Saccharomyces cerevisiae S288C: one gene and its partners. The protein of the gene in region 2 purifies or fractionates together with the protein of the main gene of each other region. This does not show direct contact. Each region holds a gene or a part of one and is shown on either strand. Other genes may lie near its edges.

The links.
Region 1: the proteins of TAF4 (region 2) and TAF2 purify together in Saccharomyces cerevisiae (affinity purification with mass spectrometry; 4 studies listed by BioGRID, with this or other methods). This does not show direct contact.
Region 3: the proteins of TAF4 (region 2) and TAF8 purify together in Saccharomyces cerevisiae (affinity purification with mass spectrometry; 2 studies listed by BioGRID). This does not show direct contact.
Region 4: the proteins of TAF4 (region 2) and TAF3 purify together in Saccharomyces cerevisiae (affinity purification with mass spectrometry; 7 studies listed by BioGRID, with this or other methods). This does not show direct contact.

The regions. Positions count from the first base shown.
Region 1 is NC_001135.5:200,674-207,325, forward strand, and holds TAF2 (transcription initiation factor TFIID subunit TAF2), read right to left. Parts: upstream 4,725-6,652; coding exon 501-4,724; downstream 1-500. Other genes in the region: MATALPHA1 (transcriptional co-activator mating type protein alpha), read left to right, coding at 1-296; YCR041W (uncharacterized protein), read left to right, coding at 238-570; YCR043C (uncharacterized protein), read right to left, coding at 5,588-5,971; PER1 (Per1p), read right to left, coding at 6,204-6,652. UniProt on the Saccharomyces cerevisiae protein: Functions as a component of the DNA-binding general transcription factor complex TFIID. Binding of TFIID to a promoter (with or without TATA element) is the initial step in pre-initiation complex (PIC) formation.
Region 2 is NC_001145.3:274,300-277,770, reverse strand, and holds TAF4 (Taf4p), read right to left. Parts: upstream 1,727-3,471; coding exon 560-1,726; downstream 1-559. Other genes in the region: PLB2 (lysophospholipase), read left to right, coding at 1-210; MVP1 (Mvp1p), read right to left, coding at 2,219-3,471. UniProt on the Saccharomyces cerevisiae protein: Functions as a component of the DNA-binding general transcription factor complex TFIID. Binding of TFIID to a promoter (with or without TATA element) is the initial step in pre-initiation complex (PIC) formation.
Region 3 is NC_001145.3:41,482-45,558, forward strand, and holds TAF8 (Taf8p), read right to left. Parts: upstream 2,095-4,077; coding exon 562-2,094; downstream 1-561. Other genes in the region: VAN1 (Van1p), read right to left, coding at 1-313; DAT1 (Dat1p), read left to right, coding at 2,564-3,310; CTK3 (Ctk3p), read left to right, coding at 3,582-4,077. UniProt on the Saccharomyces cerevisiae protein: Functions as a component of the DNA-binding general transcription factor complex TFIID. Binding of TFIID to a promoter (with or without TATA element) is the initial step in pre-initiation complex (PIC) formation.
Region 4 is NC_001148.4:533,109-536,568, forward strand, and holds TAF3 (Taf3p), read right to left. Parts: upstream 1,596-3,460; coding exon 534-1,595; downstream 1-533. Other genes in the region: mRNA-binding protein RRP12, read left to right, coding at 1-301; RET3 (coatomer subunit zeta), read left to right, coding at 1,910-2,479; RQC2 (Rqc2p), read right to left, coding at 2,712-3,460. UniProt on the Saccharomyces cerevisiae protein: Functions as a component of the DNA-binding general transcription factor complex TFIID. Binding of TFIID to a promoter (with or without TATA element) is the initial step in pre-initiation complex (PIC) formation.

The DNA of each region.
Region 1 (6,652 bases), on a different chromosome or scaffold from region 2:
TTCGACAGTTCAATAAGACATCTATAAAATCTTCAAAGAAATATTTAAACTCATTTATGGCTTTTAGAGCATATTACTCACAGTTTGGCTCCGGTGTAAAACAAAATGTCTTGTCTTCTCTGCTCGCTGAAGAATGGCACGCGGACAAAATGCAGCACGGAATATGGGACTACTTCGCGCAACAGTATAATTTTATAAACCCTGGTTTTGGTTTTGTAGAGTGGTTGACGAATAATTATGCTGAAGTACGTGGTGACGGATATTGGGAAGATGTGTTTGTACATTTGGCCTTATAGAGTGTGGTCGTGGCGGAGGTTGTTTATCTTTCGAGTACTGAATGTTGTCAGTATAGCTATCCTATTTGAAACTCCCCATCGTCTTGCTCTTGTTCCCAATGTTTGTTTATACACTCATATGGCTATACCCTTATCTACTTGCCTCTTTTGTTTATGTCTATGTATTTGTATAAAATATGATATTACTCAGACTCAAGCAAACAATCAATTCTTAGCATCATTCTTTGTTCTTATCTTAACCATAAACGATCTTGATGTGACTTTTGTAATTTGAACGAATTGGCTATACGGGACGGATGACAAATGCACCATTACTCTAGGTTGTTGTTGGATCTTAACAAACCGTAAAGGTAAACTGCCCATGCGGTTCACATGACTTTTGACTTTCCTTTGTTTGCTAGTTACCTTCGGCTTCACAATTTGTTTTTCCACTTTTCTAACAGGTTTATCACCTTTCAAACTTATCTTTATCTTATTCGCCTTCTTGGGTGCCTCCACAGTAGAGGTTACTTCCTTTTTAATATGTACTTTTAGGATACTTTCACGCTTTATAACAATATCAAGTTTACCTTCTTCATTACTATTCATCTTCGCCACAAGTCTTCTCTCCCTTGGTGTTTCCAATCTAACTACAAAACTGTTGATTAGGGTGTACATCACCCTAACAAGATCATGTATTTGCTTCCTCTGGTACAAGCTAAGAACAGGTAAATTCAAAACATCCCAGAGTAATATCTTCAAAGGGCTATACCCTTTAAACATATCTCGGCATATTTGTATTAACCCACTAATATTTTGACGGCCAATCTTTTCTATTTTTATTTTCATATCATCGACGTAATGACCACTTAAAAACAACTCAATATCATCCTCACTTTTTATATTTTTAACTTCATTGTGCACAGATTGGACGGAGGACTTAATATCGTCACTTATGGTATCCAAACTACCATCCATAACAACTAGATTTACACATTCAGAAAGCACATCAACACTTTTATCCCTAATATAAGAATCCTCATGGAAGCAAAGTATTTCAGTAAACAAAACAAGGGCATCCTTGTTTTTTAAACCACCTTCTAAAAGCATGATTTTCAAAACCATTAAAAACTCATTCTGAAAGCTTTCCCTGGAAATATCTCCGTTATTTATACCTAATGTTAATGTATGCATTATCATTCCTGTCAATTCCGTAAAGTCATAAGCACCCACTTTATGCAATTTGTACTTAGCATACATGATAGTAGTCTTAATCAAAGACTCGTATGATGAAAGCCAATTCACCAAATTTTCGTACCTCAATAACTGAGTCTTAACTTTTTCCATATATGCTTTATCTTTATACTCATTTAAAGCAACTTTAACAACATTTTCAATCAAGCTGCGGACGTACGCATCATCACTGTATTTATTTTCACCATTCTCATTATAAACAAGAATATCCAGTAAAAATTGCTTCACCAATTTTGGACATTTACCATTTTCATTTTTCACTTTAGCCAAATATTTGGGAATATTACACTGTAAGAAATACAACTTAGGATTCTCAAAGTTATTACTCTTTGGAATATTAGAGTCTTCTAGGCAAAACAAAATCTGAAAAATCTGAATTAAATGCTTAACACCGCCAGTAAAATCCGGATCATATACGTATTTACTAAGCGCTTCGCACGCCGCGAGTCTTATGCCAAAAAAGTAACGCTCGTCGATCGCCGTTCTAAACAAAATACTTGAATAAACAAGTGATTTCACACCACCATTAACAACGACGTCCTCATAATATCGTATGGCTTCTAGTTGGGCCTCTATGTCCCCATCTTGTCTCAACTGAGAAGAAAACATGTAATCCGGCTGATTAATGTGCATTTGGCAAATCCATTCCAGATCAGAGTCTATGCGTATCCACTCAAATGCTTCGTTTTGCTTAAGCAATTCATTACTCTCAGACGTACGATTAAATTCCGTCAAACTGAATCGGGAACACTCTTCGGGCGACATGTATACATTTCCTAGACAATTCACATCCACAACAATAGGCTTCTCCTCATTATTGTTTTCAACACCATTTTCATCATTTGCACCACCACCTCTTTTCCTTAATCTTCTGTACTTTGTATTGTACTGAATATCTATTTTTGTGAATGTATCTTTGATTTCCACAATATGCTCATACGGAGTACCATCGTGTTCATGGATCCTTATAGTCATCGAGCCCGTGAAGCATTCGGTTCGGTTCAAATCTGGATGTTCTAAGTGGTCTAGTGCACTTTTGAAAAATCCTTCCTCCCCTACCACTTTTTCGTGGCCAAGTTCTTCATCTTGAACTTGCCTTATACCCAGTTCTATAACCATCCTCTTCCTATTAAATCTTTGGGTGACACGTAATATGGGTACCCCAGACCCATATACCCATTCGTTGAAAAAATTCTCTAATTTACTTTTATTAACTCTTTCGCAAACATGTTGAAAATGCGATGAAGTCAACGAATTATTCGGTAAATCACCAGACATAGCTTGAAGGAAAATTTTAGGTAATACTCGAGACATACCGAAAGATCGTTCTGTTTTAGTCATCCTTCTGTCAAGTATGTGTAGTATCATCGGTGCCTTCAATTGTATAAAGGACAAATCTTTAGAAGACCAAGATATTGGCCTAGAACTGCCGGTAAAAGTGCTCCCAATAGGCGGTTTCTCGAAGTCTTGTTCCACAATCGCCTCACTATTACGCTTTAATTGATATTTATACGTGTTATTACCCATTAATTTTTTGGTTACCTGAAACACCATATAACCAGCAATACCAAGACAGCACCAGTAGTCGTTCATATCTAAAGGAGTTATATTCACACAAGACCATTGGTTAGCAAGTGCCCATGCTAACTCATTCGTAGTACTGAATGCTTTATCAATAACTTCTAGAGGGTACAATAATCTGGTATTACAAATGCCTAATGCTGCAAAATCCATATGCTTAGAAGGTGCGGTAGGTAAAAACACCATAGAGTAACAAGTGAAAGGATAAGACCCAAATTCTTTCGAGTAGAAATCTATAATTTTTTGGCAGACAACTGTCGAATTTATAACTGTTAACTCATCTGTTTCCTGCGTCGGAAGTGTGAAAATTTGAATGGGTATAATATCCGAACCAATGTCGTCATCCATAGTATCGTTAACATTGTCCACAACATTCTCTCTCAACTTGTCTTCCTCTACTTCGTCCTCGGCATCAACACTTGGAGGTGATATCAAAGGTAAAGACCATGAATTAAAGGCGCCTATAGCCCAACCAATGTGATGTGGAGCCACAGGATTAATTATCTGAAATATGCATTTTTTTTTCGTCAAATCAATCGGGTGCGGAAGTTCTTTAATATTTGAATATTCTGAACAACACACAATCACATCCCTCAAACTCGGATTGTTGCTTTCCTCAATATTCCGCCTTTCCTCTTCCCCTTCCTCTTCCTCTTCGTCACTTTCGCCTTCCTCTTCTTCTTCATCATTATCTTGTGCATCTTTGCTTTTACTATTTTTGCCTTCTTCGTCATTTTTCAAGTTAGAATCCTTATCTTCGTCTTTGATAACTCTTGCCGGCTTCCCCTCTTCCTCTTCATCGTGCTCAGGCGTATCCTCCTTCTCTTTTTCACTCTCTTCTCCATTTTGTCCGATTAATTTCGAAGTACCTATATTTTTAACCAATCTCGGTACGCTGAATTCTAACTCCCATGTAGATTTTTCATCAAGCAAATCGACACATGGGACCCAATATGATGCAGAACTGCAAATCTCACCATTTGAAGTGTAAACGTTCCATAACCAGGGCTTGTCAGCATACACAGTATCGAATTTAATACCCGACTTTGGGTTTCTGATTTCATATTCAATTTGTAATGTAATTGGAGTGAAAACAGATTCTTGAAACCCAGGGGTAGTCTTAATTGAAGGAGTAATCGGAGTGTAATTACTTAATGCATTGGCGTCCTCCAAAGATATTTTGATGGAAGATGGTATTTTTATAGTTAACTGGGATTTAGAGTCCGTTTCTGGGTATTCATTCAAGCTAGCAAACTTAGATCTCAAAAAATGTGACTGTTCAATGGAATTGTCGCTGTATAATACATTTTGTGAAGTCAATCCATTCAAATTTGTTTGAAGTGGGTCGTCATGAATAAATTGATCACATCGACGATTTTCGACCAGAACATCTTTAATAGTCATTTCCTTGCAATCAAAAGTTACATATTCTAGGTTTTGGATCAACGGAATGATTATTATAGTAGCGCTACCGGTAATGCAGTGAGTAGCTAGATCTATATCCAACGAGATTTTTTCATGGGCAACTCTAAAATTTCTAAACTTCATCTCATGCAAAGTGCTAGATTCACTAACAATGGCTCTAGGAGTGGCGTTTTTGGAAAAGGACATCATGAAGTCCACCTATTTATCCTGTTGTCACCTCTTCACTGTCCAAAACTTCATCAAAAAATACTTTTACATCCGTTCCATTTTACTATAGTTTTCATCTTACGCAATTTACCAATTGCCCCATTCGGCAAAAGTATTTAAGTGTTACCCGGTTACTTAAGGTAATACCAAAAATATTCACTATATTGAAAGTTCTATGTATTTTATTGAATTAAATAAGACTGATTTTGTAGCACGATATCCGCAAGAATGATTCACAACCATTTTAGATGTCTGCAGCTTTTTTTTTTTTGATTTTTTTACTAATTTTAGTGCGATTTTAGAATAACTCTTGGATTAAATAAATAAAAAAAATACAATTATCACTCAGATTTTGAAGCAATCTGATAAAAATTGCAGCATATTATTATAACAATTCTAGTTCACTACAAACAGCACATTATCAAGAAACTTATGTTTGATGGACAGTTTCTTCAAATAATTGAATGCAGTAAAAAATAAAAAAAATAACCATGGAATATGTTTCTAAGAATTCGCAATCCTTGTTTATATAACTATAGCTTTTTTTATGTTATAAGAAAACATTTATTCCTTTAACCAAAAGGAAAAAGGTAACAACCCCACTTACCCCTCTGTCAATAGTTAATCATTTTATTATTTTCAACTTTAAACATCCAAAAAAAATAAAATAAATTAAATTAAAATCAAATAGAAAATGCATTATTACTATAATAATATCTCTATGTAGACATATACATATTATTTCATTGCTTTTTGTAATAAACGAGGAAAATGGTGGGATAAAAAAATGCATTGTTATTCCTTCGAAACCAGCAGTAATAAGTCGTCCTGAGAACGATGTAGATTTAGATCTTTACATGTTGGTACTCTAAATCACCTCCTTCCATCTTAAAGTCGTCCTTCTTCTTGCTCCAATCAAACTTGCTTTTCTTGCTGCTGGGACACCAATTTAAACTTATTAACCAGATAGTAAACAAAATCATGAAACAACAGAAATAACACCAAAAATGATCGTAAACGTGACCCCTTATGATATCACACACTGAATAATCATACACTTCATCGTCTATAACCAGTCCATAATTGAAATAACCGAGTCCGTATTTCAATACAGGTTTATATCCACCTTCATCGGTAAACGTACTTGGACTCAAAACTGTGCTTAGATCATTAGTTCCTTGGAATGCATGTTCTCTCAATAAGGAAGCATCAAGTGGAGCTGGGATCATCCTTTGCCAAAGTACGTTAAGAGCGCTTTCACTGCCTACTGTTGCCCCAAAAATTTCTTGGCCTTATCTTGGCACAAATATTCTTTTGCATTTAGTTCTATACATACAGAAAGAGCGAAAAAAAAGTGAAAAATAAACAGAATGTGATAACGGTAAAAGAAAATCAAAAATAAACAAAAAAAAATACATATATAACTATTATTCATGATAGTAAACAGGTGAATTAAGATATTTAGTACAATTGTCTATTACCCCAATAGGCATAATCCTCGAGGAAAAAGTCGTACAATACCCACGAGGGCCATATTGTGCACAGATGCCATAGCGCATGGGCATCAATCTGCCATTCGTAACTAAAAAAGTCAAACAGTTCCAATGACATGGCCATTGTGGTTACAATCACAAGAAGAATTGGAATGACACACAGTTTGAAGATTTGCCGCTTGAAGCTGGAGTACGCGGTTTTCTTGAATTCGCCCATTAGCTTTTGCTTTTGCAGAGCATGGTAGTTTTGGCATGATAACATTATCAATAAAATATACTGTAAAACACCGAAAAAAATGTTGAATCTCATGTTGTATGTGTACGACCAGTCAACATAGAGTCTCAAGATGTGCAGGGCAAAGATTGCCGCAACTGACGCAGTGAACGCTTGTGCTATCTTGGGGTACAGGAACATGG
Region 2 (3,471 bases):
TCGACTTCATCAAATGTCACTTCTAACTCAAACTCTTCGTCAAATACAACTTTAAACTCAAATTCTTCATCCTCTTCAATTTCTTCCTCTACAGCTCGTTCTTCTTCCTCTACGGCAAACAAAGCGAATGCTGCGGCTATTTCCTATGCGAACACTAATACTCTAATGAGTTTGTTAGGTGCCATAACAGCATTATTTGGACTAATTTAGAAGCCCTTCTGAGAAACAATACATAATACATCCTTTCACCCAAAAGGATAATGACAAGTAAATGTATAAAAATGTGTATTAATATGAAAATTTTTTTCCCGATTATCACTCCTCTTTCCGCTATTTTTGGTAGAAGGATGCCTAACTTCAAGGATTGATATATCTTCCTTATTATAAAGTTAAAATGAACAAAGCAAAAAGGTTGAATGGTCCTCAATAGCTTGGCGATGACTTGACTAAGCGACACCAACCGGCCTTCTTTATGTTAGTCAATCTTGTTTTTTTTATATCCTAGTTTATTTGAAACACTATACCTTTAAATATTATAGACAGTATAAGAGATGAGCAATTAATCTCTGATCTTGGCATAACCCTTTGAAATAATAGTCTGAACGCTGTTGCGCCTATTTTCGAGAGCAAAGAGTAAATCCCTCATTACTATACCAGGCTCCTCTCTAGCTTCTCTAAACTTTAGCCCACTTTCTCCTCTAGCCGTGATGTCGGAGGCGACTTTGCCTGAAGATTTTGCTCCCAAGGACGTCGGCTTATTTACTGATGAAGTTAGCCAACCATACTGTTTTTTACTACCTGCTCTAAGGCCAGCCGTAACGTTCGATGCTCTGTGTAACGTCTCTTCGGAATCAATCTTATTTTCATAATCTTCCTTCTCGAGTCCCAACGCAATTCTTTTTTTCACACGCCTTTCTTCTTCTTTTTTTTGAATTAGTGCAATGGCTCTTAAAGCCGCAGAAACTTCACTTCTTCTACCAGAATTTATCTTGACTGCTTTTCTTCTATGTCGGGAGATGACAATGGCATTTGTTAGGATATCTCTCATATAGTTTTCGCAGGCACTTGACATCATGTCCAAAATTTCAGGATTCTTTGTAGGGGTCAGGTTGAAGTTTTGCTCTTTTCCGACTTTCCTCATATAATTGGAAACTTGTTCCGGGTGAAGGAATGGTAAATGGTTGGGGATCTTAACGTTATTTGTTTGAACTTGGGATTTTGAGGCATTAATAGATGAATTTAGAAGAGCCTCCTCCTCCCTAACATCGATACCTGCGGAAAAAAGGACATCTTGCATTTTATTTGGGTCTGATTGTTGTTGTGCATTCTGTCCTGAGGAGTTGGATGCTTTGCCATCTTTAGAATCTGCTTTACTCGTACCCTTGTTTTTTTTTTTATCATCCTTTTTTGGTAGAGCTAGTCCAGCAGGGCTAGAGAACATATTGTTTGTATCTCCATTACTTTCAACTCTCAAATTAGTTGTGGGTGATACATTTTTAGGAAGAACAGAATCATCCGTATTACCTGCCGCATCATTGTGAGTTGAAGATACATGTGCGGTTGATTTTATCTGGCTAGGCGACGGAAGGCTATGTGATAGCTCACTAGCTTTACCTGGTGACAAATTAAATGCTGGTTTCGTTTCTGGGACGGTATGTTGATATTTAGGCGTGTCTGACGCTGATACTCCAGTGCCATCAGATGGCTTTTTCGGCGAATTTGCCATTATGTGATATGATGCCGAAAGACAATATGTGCACTACCAATCGATAAAAGCACTTTAGATTACGTGCAGGTGAGGTTATACAGAATGCTGATTAGAAAAACTTTCCCATTTGAGCTATTACACGGACCACATTCGACTTATCGATGTTCAGTTCATTCACTTTTTCAAATTAAGATCATTTATGACGAATATTGAATACTGGAGAATACACATTTTTAGCGGGCGTCGTTTGTCCGGCATATTATAAGGCTATCTAATCCAAATTATCGAAAGATTTGTTACCTTCTAATAAATATGGGAACCTATAATATCCGAATTAGGCTTCATACACTGTATTTAAAATTGAAAAACAAATAAATAACAATTTATAGTGGTACATATCTTTACTCTATTTACCTAATTATTTCTCTGTTTAGTACGTCAATTACATCTGTTGGATATCCTTCAATAATGTTTTGGCAGACTAAGTGGTTAGTCTTCACTCCGTAAAATTTATTCACGAGAAATCGGCATATCCATGATGCTTGTGACGAGCTTTTCCCACTCATTCAGTTTGAGACCGGCATGGTTGGAGTTCAATTTTGCCCAATCCTGGAAGGCACGTGTTATTAAAAATTGGGTTTCCTGAAAGATTGTAAACTCTTCCAAAATACATTGTCTTATCAACCAAGCTCTGTTTGATTGCTCTATTATGCTTCTTCTATCCTTCTGTATGATTTTTTTTATCCTGTCGTACTCTGCTCCACTGACATCTGGTTTTCCTTTCATCGATTCCAATTTCTCTTTGTTCAATTCGACATGTCTTTGCAATTCAACTACGTTATTTGCAGCCATAATTTTGTATCTCTCAAATAAACTTCTCAAAGAAAGTAAGATGTCCGTGAAAATTTTGAATTTTGGCGATAACGTTCCCGATATTTCTTCTGTTTCTTGTTTGCAGATACTACTCGTAGTTTCTAGGTGTTTTTTAATTATACTCAAATTGTTATTAATGTCCAATATGGTATCATTTTGTTGTACCGGATATAGTTTTGGAGTCACTTCGCTAAAGTTATCCACTAGTGTCTCAAAAAAATTTCTTTCGTGTACCATTTGCATAATTCTTTTTTCATGCCTTTCCAAGAGAAGCGTGATTCTATACCATAATTCCATCGAGGTATCGATACAAGATGCAGCCTGGTTCCATTGTTCTGCAAACTCTTTTTTCCACATTTTCATAAATTCTTGTGATATCTTTTTATCAGCGAATTCGTTTGAAGTGTCATAGGTTGCTTGCTTTCTCCAACTTGTTAAGTCAGTGCGTACGGTTAAAAATGTTAACACTAAATCATCATTACTTAATTTAGGGTGTTTCATTACCAAATTAATGAATCTAGATAACCCTATTCTTCTTTTCTTCAAAAAAAGCTGGTCTGCGTTTTGGGATCCAATTCTTTTGGGAGGTAGCTCAGGGATCATTCTAAAAGGGTATCTTTTCAGCAGAATTTCTCTTAACCATAAGAAATCAGAGTATCTTCTTACGACAGTACGTTCTTCAGAAGGCGAGGTACTTGGAAGAGCAATGAGATGTTTCACTAAATAGTTTGCGTGCTTGAAAAGTAAACCCTCTCTTTCAGGTATCTCTTCAATGATGATGATGTCGGCATCTAGAGGTCTGTATGTTTTTCTAACGTTGTTAGTCCAATCAAGTAAGTCGGCTTCAGATTCTTCTATATTCTGATCTCTAGCATCATTCTTATCTATAA
Region 3 (4,077 bases), 230 kb from region 2:
ATTTTGAGGAACCCAACAACGACCTACCATTTTGCGTGGATACACCAATGCCCATTCCGGAGAGAAATGATATAAAGAGATATAACGACAGAACGGCGATAATAATAAGAGATGTGATACTCACCGTAAGCTGGAATTTAGACGGTGTGGAGCGCGGCTGGTACCTGTATTTGCCCTTTAATGAGTTGGAGTTATGCTCTGAGCGTTTGTCCTTGATGTTGTTCGAGCTACCGTTCCTTGAAATGGGCAGGCTTAGTCCATTGTCCATGGCTTTCTTCTTTATATTTGACCTTAAATTAAAAAACATGCCCATTTTTTTGTGTTAATTGGTAGGTCAACAAGCTCAAATGACTGTTACTGCACCCTTACGTCTACTTCTTTCACGTTACCATTTACTAATTTACAAGACGTAAACTTTCTTTGATTCTAAATATTTCAAGCCTTGTTTCGGTATAGTCGCCGAAGAACGAAAAAAAAAAAAAAAAAAAATTCCTCTCCGGAGATAAATTGAATACGTATTATTATATTAGGGACAAACACTGGTTCACTGAAAGCAGTTGTTTACATAGTTATATCGTGATCTGTGGCTATATCTGCAGGAGGAGATGTCGGGGCGTTTTCATTAGGCGTCGAATGAGGAGAGTGACTTGTAGTAGCATCGATATTGGTTGTGTTATGTGCTACAGGTGTAGTATTTGTAGTATCTTGCGCTGTCATTGTTGGCGGTTCCGATTCCGCGACCAGGTTCTCCGCAGGCATACTCGACATTTCATTCTCATCTTCACTGCTCCCTAAGATGCCAAATAAGTTTATGTCATCGTCCTCATCCTCGGCGTTTGTGTTGATAACTATGGTAGAGTTGTTTAATGCATTAGGGGTGGTCGTGTCGTCTGCAGCGTCCCTTGCGTGCTCGTTATTTAGTAGAAGCTCAAGATCATGGCCTTCATCTTGTTCCCTCTTTGTTCGTTGTGAAATAAGCTCTTCTTGCCGACGTTTTAGCGATTTTGCTCTTTCTTCCTTGGCCATTCGTATTTTTTCCTTCTTCAACTTCTGGACCTTAGGTAAATTGTGCATGAATAGTGTCATAGACTTACGAAATTGCAATTCTATGGTTTTTTGTATGGTTTTGTGAGACTGGTGAGGACTCTCTGGAAGGTAGAGAGTTTCAGAAATTTTCAAGAATGGATTTTTTGTTCTTTTCAACTGATTCACTTCAAATTTCGTGACACGTTCTCTCGCCAATTCCACTCTATACTTCGCATACTGCTCGATATTGTTTTCATTGAAGGACTTTTCAGTTATGGTTGGTTTCCTTTCTTCCAGCGCGTTGCCCCAAATCTCCAATTGTTGCTCGATAGCGTCCTCATCGTCTAAACCCGGCGGTTGCGGGGTATTTGACGCTGATGATATGTGGGAGAGACTTTTGTTCAAGTTCAATAGTGCCTTTTCAGACTCTTGGCTTTCTTTTACTATTTCTTTCTTGATGGTTTTTAGATCAGTAATTGGATGGTTGAACTCAGGTGTAAACTTATAGGTATGGTCAGGCGGAAAGTTGGGCAGCCAACTCGGTATCTGTTTTTCCAGTGGGTTAGAGGGAGGCAGCAAAACGTTGATCTCGTTCTGTTGCTCCTCGATATTATTCAATTCGTCCTCTTCATCTTCTTCGTTATGCGGTAAAGCAGCAAGAGACGACCAGCTCATCAATTTTTCATATTCCGTGGAATGCTTCGATTTGATGAATTCTGAGGCCTGAAACTGCTGATAAAGGGAGGGCGCATCCAGGTTAAACTCTCGAAGCAACAATTTCAAATCTGCTTGAGAAGCTTGCGACCTTCTTTGTAAAAGTGTTAAATTGTGCAGGTTCCGAAACATGCCGTCCATTTGGACGGTCACGAGGTTGACCAGCTCATCCAATGCAAAGTTTGAAATGCAGATGTTCAACGAATTCAACTGGAAAAGTACTGTTTTCTTTAGAATTTCAACTACGGGAGCATCTATTTCCAAGTGACTAATTTCCGTCAAATCCGGTAGGTTCCTCAGCTGAACTATGGTACTTTGGGTACCGGTACCACTTTCTGACGTTTTGGAAGTCATTGCCCTTTATGAGTCCCTCAATTACACGTTTGTTTGCTTGCTTGCCTCTCTCTCCATTGCTTTTACTCTCTTTTTTAAAGAGTTCAAGATTTTCTACATAAAAGCATCGGGTAACACTCCCATATACACCATTTGTGCTTAAGCTGGCTTCTACCAGTCGCGTTTCAAGCGACTTTATTGATCGCATCAGCGTAGAACAAGAACAGAACTATGTATGCAAACAGGACTAATCATCTTCAGTTATCTTACTTTAGTTTGCAACTATTTATATCATGTTTTCTTTTCAACTTCTTTTTTTTTTTTTCGTTTATGAAGCCGATGCTAATGCATCAATTTTTTTTTTTTGGTGATGAGTTTTGAAAGAAAATGAAAAAAAAAAAATTTCTATTATTGTCAGTGGAGTTTTTGAACAGATCACCTTGTGAATCTACAAACTGTCCTAAAGTATATTGGAGCAGGACATTGGGTGATGGCGAAAACTTTGGCACAAGGAAGGAAACCTGGAAGCGGCAGAAAGCCCGGAAAAGGGAAGACGTTGAGAGAGGGAAGAAAGCCTGGCAGTGGTAGGAGGAGGAGGCAAGATACTGGGGGTAAAGAGACCGACGGGTCTCAGCAAGATCAGGAGTCGCGTCTTATTAGTTCCAGGGACATGGAAGCTGTGGACGCACTGAGAGAGTTGACGCACAGCCCGTCGTCTCACTCAGCTCATAATTCATCAGCAGCACCACCGCCGCATGCAGCAGCGGCGTCAACTTCATTGCCTCCATCTCTGGATTATACCCATCAGTCATTCATGGATCAACAACAACAACAGCAGCAGCAGCAGCAGCAACAACTACTACAGCAACAGAGAGTGGACGTCGTTCCGCCCAAGCCGTTCATCACCCACAAGATCCTGTTATCTTCAACGGGAAACTCTGGCGGCCACGTGAATTCAAATTACAACGCCGACCACAGCATTAATCATAATTCAAACCACAACCTTAACAGCAACGTGAACGTGAACATGAACTTTACTATAAATGGGAGCAATCAAGACCCGTCATCTTCTTTCCTGATGGGGCCCTACAACTACTTACAGCGGCCTTTCATTGTGAAACCATATCTTGATCTGTCCACAAGCACAGCAGCATCAAATCAGCCACGGACGCAACCATCGCCGGCAGCACATATCACTAAGAATTCCGATTCTACAGAGAAAAACGCAACCATATGACATTCATTTCCAGCATACCACTAAAACATTCGTATATGCCACATAATAACTAGTTGAGAAAACCATAGATATTTATATTTATATGTATTTGTACTTCTTTGAGCAATGTATATTTAAGACTGATCTCAACTTCAGCAACTGTTCAAATTCACTGTTTTTCCTAATTAAGCACAACATGAAAAACTAGAATTTTAGAAAGAAAAGGAAAAAGAATACCAGATGGTAGTTAATTTCTCACAAAAGCACTGCCAGGTAAAGGTATACAGCAAGGATGGACTCTCTTGAAGCTAGATTACAATTCATTCAGGTCCTGAAGAACCTGCAAAAGACGCTGCACAAGACCAGAGACTCTATCACATCATCGTCGACCACCACACCACCGTCATCGCAACAAAAGCTGAACAATGACCCTATACAGTTCTACTTGAGAAACTACAGACATCACTACGAGGACTTCCACCAATGTTTGTTCGATACAACCATGAAGATGGACCCACTAGATAGACTGGACGTAGTGATATACTATGTTAGAATAATAAGAAACTTATATCCGCATAGCCATTCCAATACCAATGTTACAAAAGTGTTAAACGAAGTGCTACTCATGGACATAGACTTGGTTTTTGAGCTTTGTCTGCCCTGCCAGGACTGGAAATCCCTCACGAATCAAGCCACCTGTAAAGAGCTATTCCTTGACTTATCCAAACTAATCCATTACGACGCCACCAGCGTCACGCACACACCATCAGACACCACACTCATAGACG
Region 4 (3,460 bases), on a different chromosome or scaffold from region 2:
TGACTCAGAAGGAAAACTCGTTGTCAAGGGGCAACCTAAACCCTCTACTAATGTAGACGATCCATTGAGTGCTGTGACAAGCGGAATCAATGCGTATCTAGAGGCTGTGAAAAGTGGTCCTGTAAGAGGTCAAAGAAACAAGCTGAAATTCAGGAAAAATGGAAAGGACTCTGATGAATTTGGCGATGATGATGATGGTGAAAAGGATAGTAGGCTAATGAGAGGAAGAGTAAATCAAGGTAACAAGATTGGCAAACATAATAAGAAAGGTCCAAAGTTCAAATCTAGAAAAAAATTATAGAAGATTGAAACTGAGCAATATGGCTAATTACACACCTGGAGAAAAAATCAGATATGTATATATAAGAATATTATAATACTGTATATTAAAAATGATTAAAATAAAGAAAAAAATGAATCGGGCGTTTAATTGCTTATTATCTTGAAGAAGCGAAAGTACACTATATAGTAATAATGTGAGGTTAATTAAATATGGATGAGATAATGACGAAAGAAAATGCAGAAATGTCGTTTTAAAAGTAACCCCCATAATCTAGTGAGGTTCGACGTTGAAATGTGCTGTCCATATCTTCCTGCTCTGCCCATTTAGTATCAACATTTGAGTCGAATTGAAACATTGATATGTCACGGTCATCACCATGAGGAGACTCTGTTAAACTTTTATTGTTCTCTTTAAAACTTTCCTCATTGTTATTTTCTTGAGACTTTTGGTTAGGGCCTTCCACTTCGCCAAGTGATTCAAGCTCCTCATCCTCAAATGAAAGAGTTATATTTTCTAACCTATTTTCTTTTCTCATTATCGGCAGTTTGCTAGTTACAAATGGATTTTCTTGGATCTCTGTTAAGGCATCCTCATCTCTTGGGGTCATCGCCGAAGGCATCCTATCTTCGTTTGTTATGGTAGTGTGGTGATGGCGGCTTAGAATGGAAGATTTATAGCCTGCAATATGTGGTAAAGCCGGTACATTTTGAGATTCTTTTTTGGAAGCTCTTTCAATCATGTTTATACGTTGTCTAGCAATGACTAATTTGATCCAATCATCTAATCCATTATTATTTATTAGATCTTCTATCAACTCTGTTTTTCTATTCTTTGTTTCTAATTTCTGTTTCGCACCCTTGTTTTGCAGTAATTGATTGAGATAGTCAGGTATTGCTGACAAAGGATCAGATTCTTTTTCCTCACTTTGTAGTAATTCTACTGTGGGTAAGGCAGTTATTCGCGCGTCGGTCAATTGAGTACTATAAATACACCAGTCCTTGAACTTTTCCATTCCTCGTGAACTTGATAATTCGGAGTTTTCATCATAGACATCCAGAACGTTCGTAGGCTTAACAATACCTAGATTTTCCAGAGCCAGAGTTATATCTTGTAAAGCAATTGTATCGTCCTGATCACATCTTGCCTGAGCGATAGAACTGACCTCTGATGCTAACAAACTCAAGAATTTTGCATAGAGATCGGTCATGACATCCACCAGACTGGGCCTTGCCCTGTCAAATCCTTGTGCCTTCAATAATTGGAGAATAGATATGCGTAGTAGAGCAAAATAGAAGTCATTATTTGTAGTCATAGCAGAGGAACTCTATTGACCCAAAGATATCGCTGTTTTCCGCTAGTAGGTGATTTGGAATTGCTCAGGAAGCTACTTCAAGTGTTATATTAGCATACCTTCATCATGCAATATGAAATTACTGAAAAAAAAAACTAAAGCATCGCGAGCTTACCCGTTTCGCCACTTCTGTCAAGTGAAAAAACACGTTTGCATTGTTTAGGCTACAAGGTGTGGAATATCGAAGTTATTGCTAGACAGAAGTTCTTTAGGCATTTAGGTTTTGTTTGTGAGCTGGCTTGCTAATTTTGAGTACTGTGCATCATTGTTCCAGGATGTCTTCTTTATCGCTATATACTGTTCAGGCTGTTTTAATACTAGATCAGCAAGGAGAACGAATTTATGCAAAGTATTATCAACCTCCTCATAGATCTGATGAAGGACACCAATTGCTCTTCAATTCGGTGAAGAAGCAAAAAGAGTTTGAGAAACAACTATACCGTAAGACTCACAAGCAAGATTCGGAGATTTTAATCTTCGAGGATCATTTAGTCCTTTACAAAGAATACATTGATATCACGATATATTTAGTTGCTTCGCTGGAAGAGAATGAAATTGTTCTTCAGCAAGGATTTTCAGCAATCAGAGGAGCTTTGGATTTGATTTTGAACTCAGGAATGGACAAAAAAAACATCCAAGAAAACTATGATATGGTTTTATTAGCTATTGATGAAACCATTGATAATGGTGTTATCCTCGAAACTGACTCTAACACTATTGCATCCAGAGTTTCTAAACCACCTACGAACGAACCCCAAATGGCATTAGATTTGGATAAGGGTTTCTTAGGCGCGTGGGGTTTCGCAAAGAGCAAGTTTCAAGAAAGGTTACAGCAAGGCTTATGATCACAAGGCAAAGCGGATAGAAGAAAATTTTAGCTGGTCTTATATGGTATATATGCAGTGTCTTACTTTCTCCCTTCCATATATATGTATCTACTTATATATATAAGTATATGTTGCTCATTTAGAAATGATTGTCACCTCATGCTAATCATTTTATTCTTCTCGTTGGTCTGTGATGAAAAATAATGAAAAAATTATAATTGCTGTCTATTTTCTTTTCATCTCATATGATTTAGCGTTTTTTTTTGCCCTTCTTCGAAGAGTTACCACCGTTCTTGGTGGATTTCTGCCCAGCGATTGTTACTTTTAACTTGTCGACACAGAGCAGAAGAACCAAGTCCTGTTCCTTCAAGCCTTTAATCATTTCATGTTCTTGGGGCCAATCCATTTCGTTGTCAGTTGAAGAACCGTCTAGTGGTCTACTCTTGAAATAATGTAAAATTTCAGTTAAAGTCTTAGTTTTCTTCGCACTTCCCGGTTGTATTTTGACTTTGTATTTATATTTCAAAAGCGCAGGCCAGGGGGCAAATACTGGTATAATATCATCAACCACATCGCCCTTATCGAGAGATGGTTTTAATTCGGACTTGTGTTTATCATAGTTCACTCTTGCTTTCTCTTTTTTGGTGAATTTTAAAGCCTGTAGTCTTCTTTGTTTCTCGCGTTTATTCTTTCTATCTTCTCTAACTTCTCGCTTCATTATTTCTTCTTTCTTCCTTTGTTGCTGCTTTTCGATACCCTTCAAAGTACCCAAGGCCTCCAAACGCAAGAGACGTTCAGTTTCATCCTGGTCGGCGTATTTCTTTTGAATTTTCTTCAATTTTCCTCTTTTACCACGGACGTTACTGTTTATGTTTTCGATTAAAGATATCGGAACACCTGGTTCATCAAGGATACGCTGCGTACTGCTATTGTCATTTTTGGCTTTAGCATTTCCAGAATCAGAGTCGGTATCGGATGATATGGTGCAATGCTTTTCGA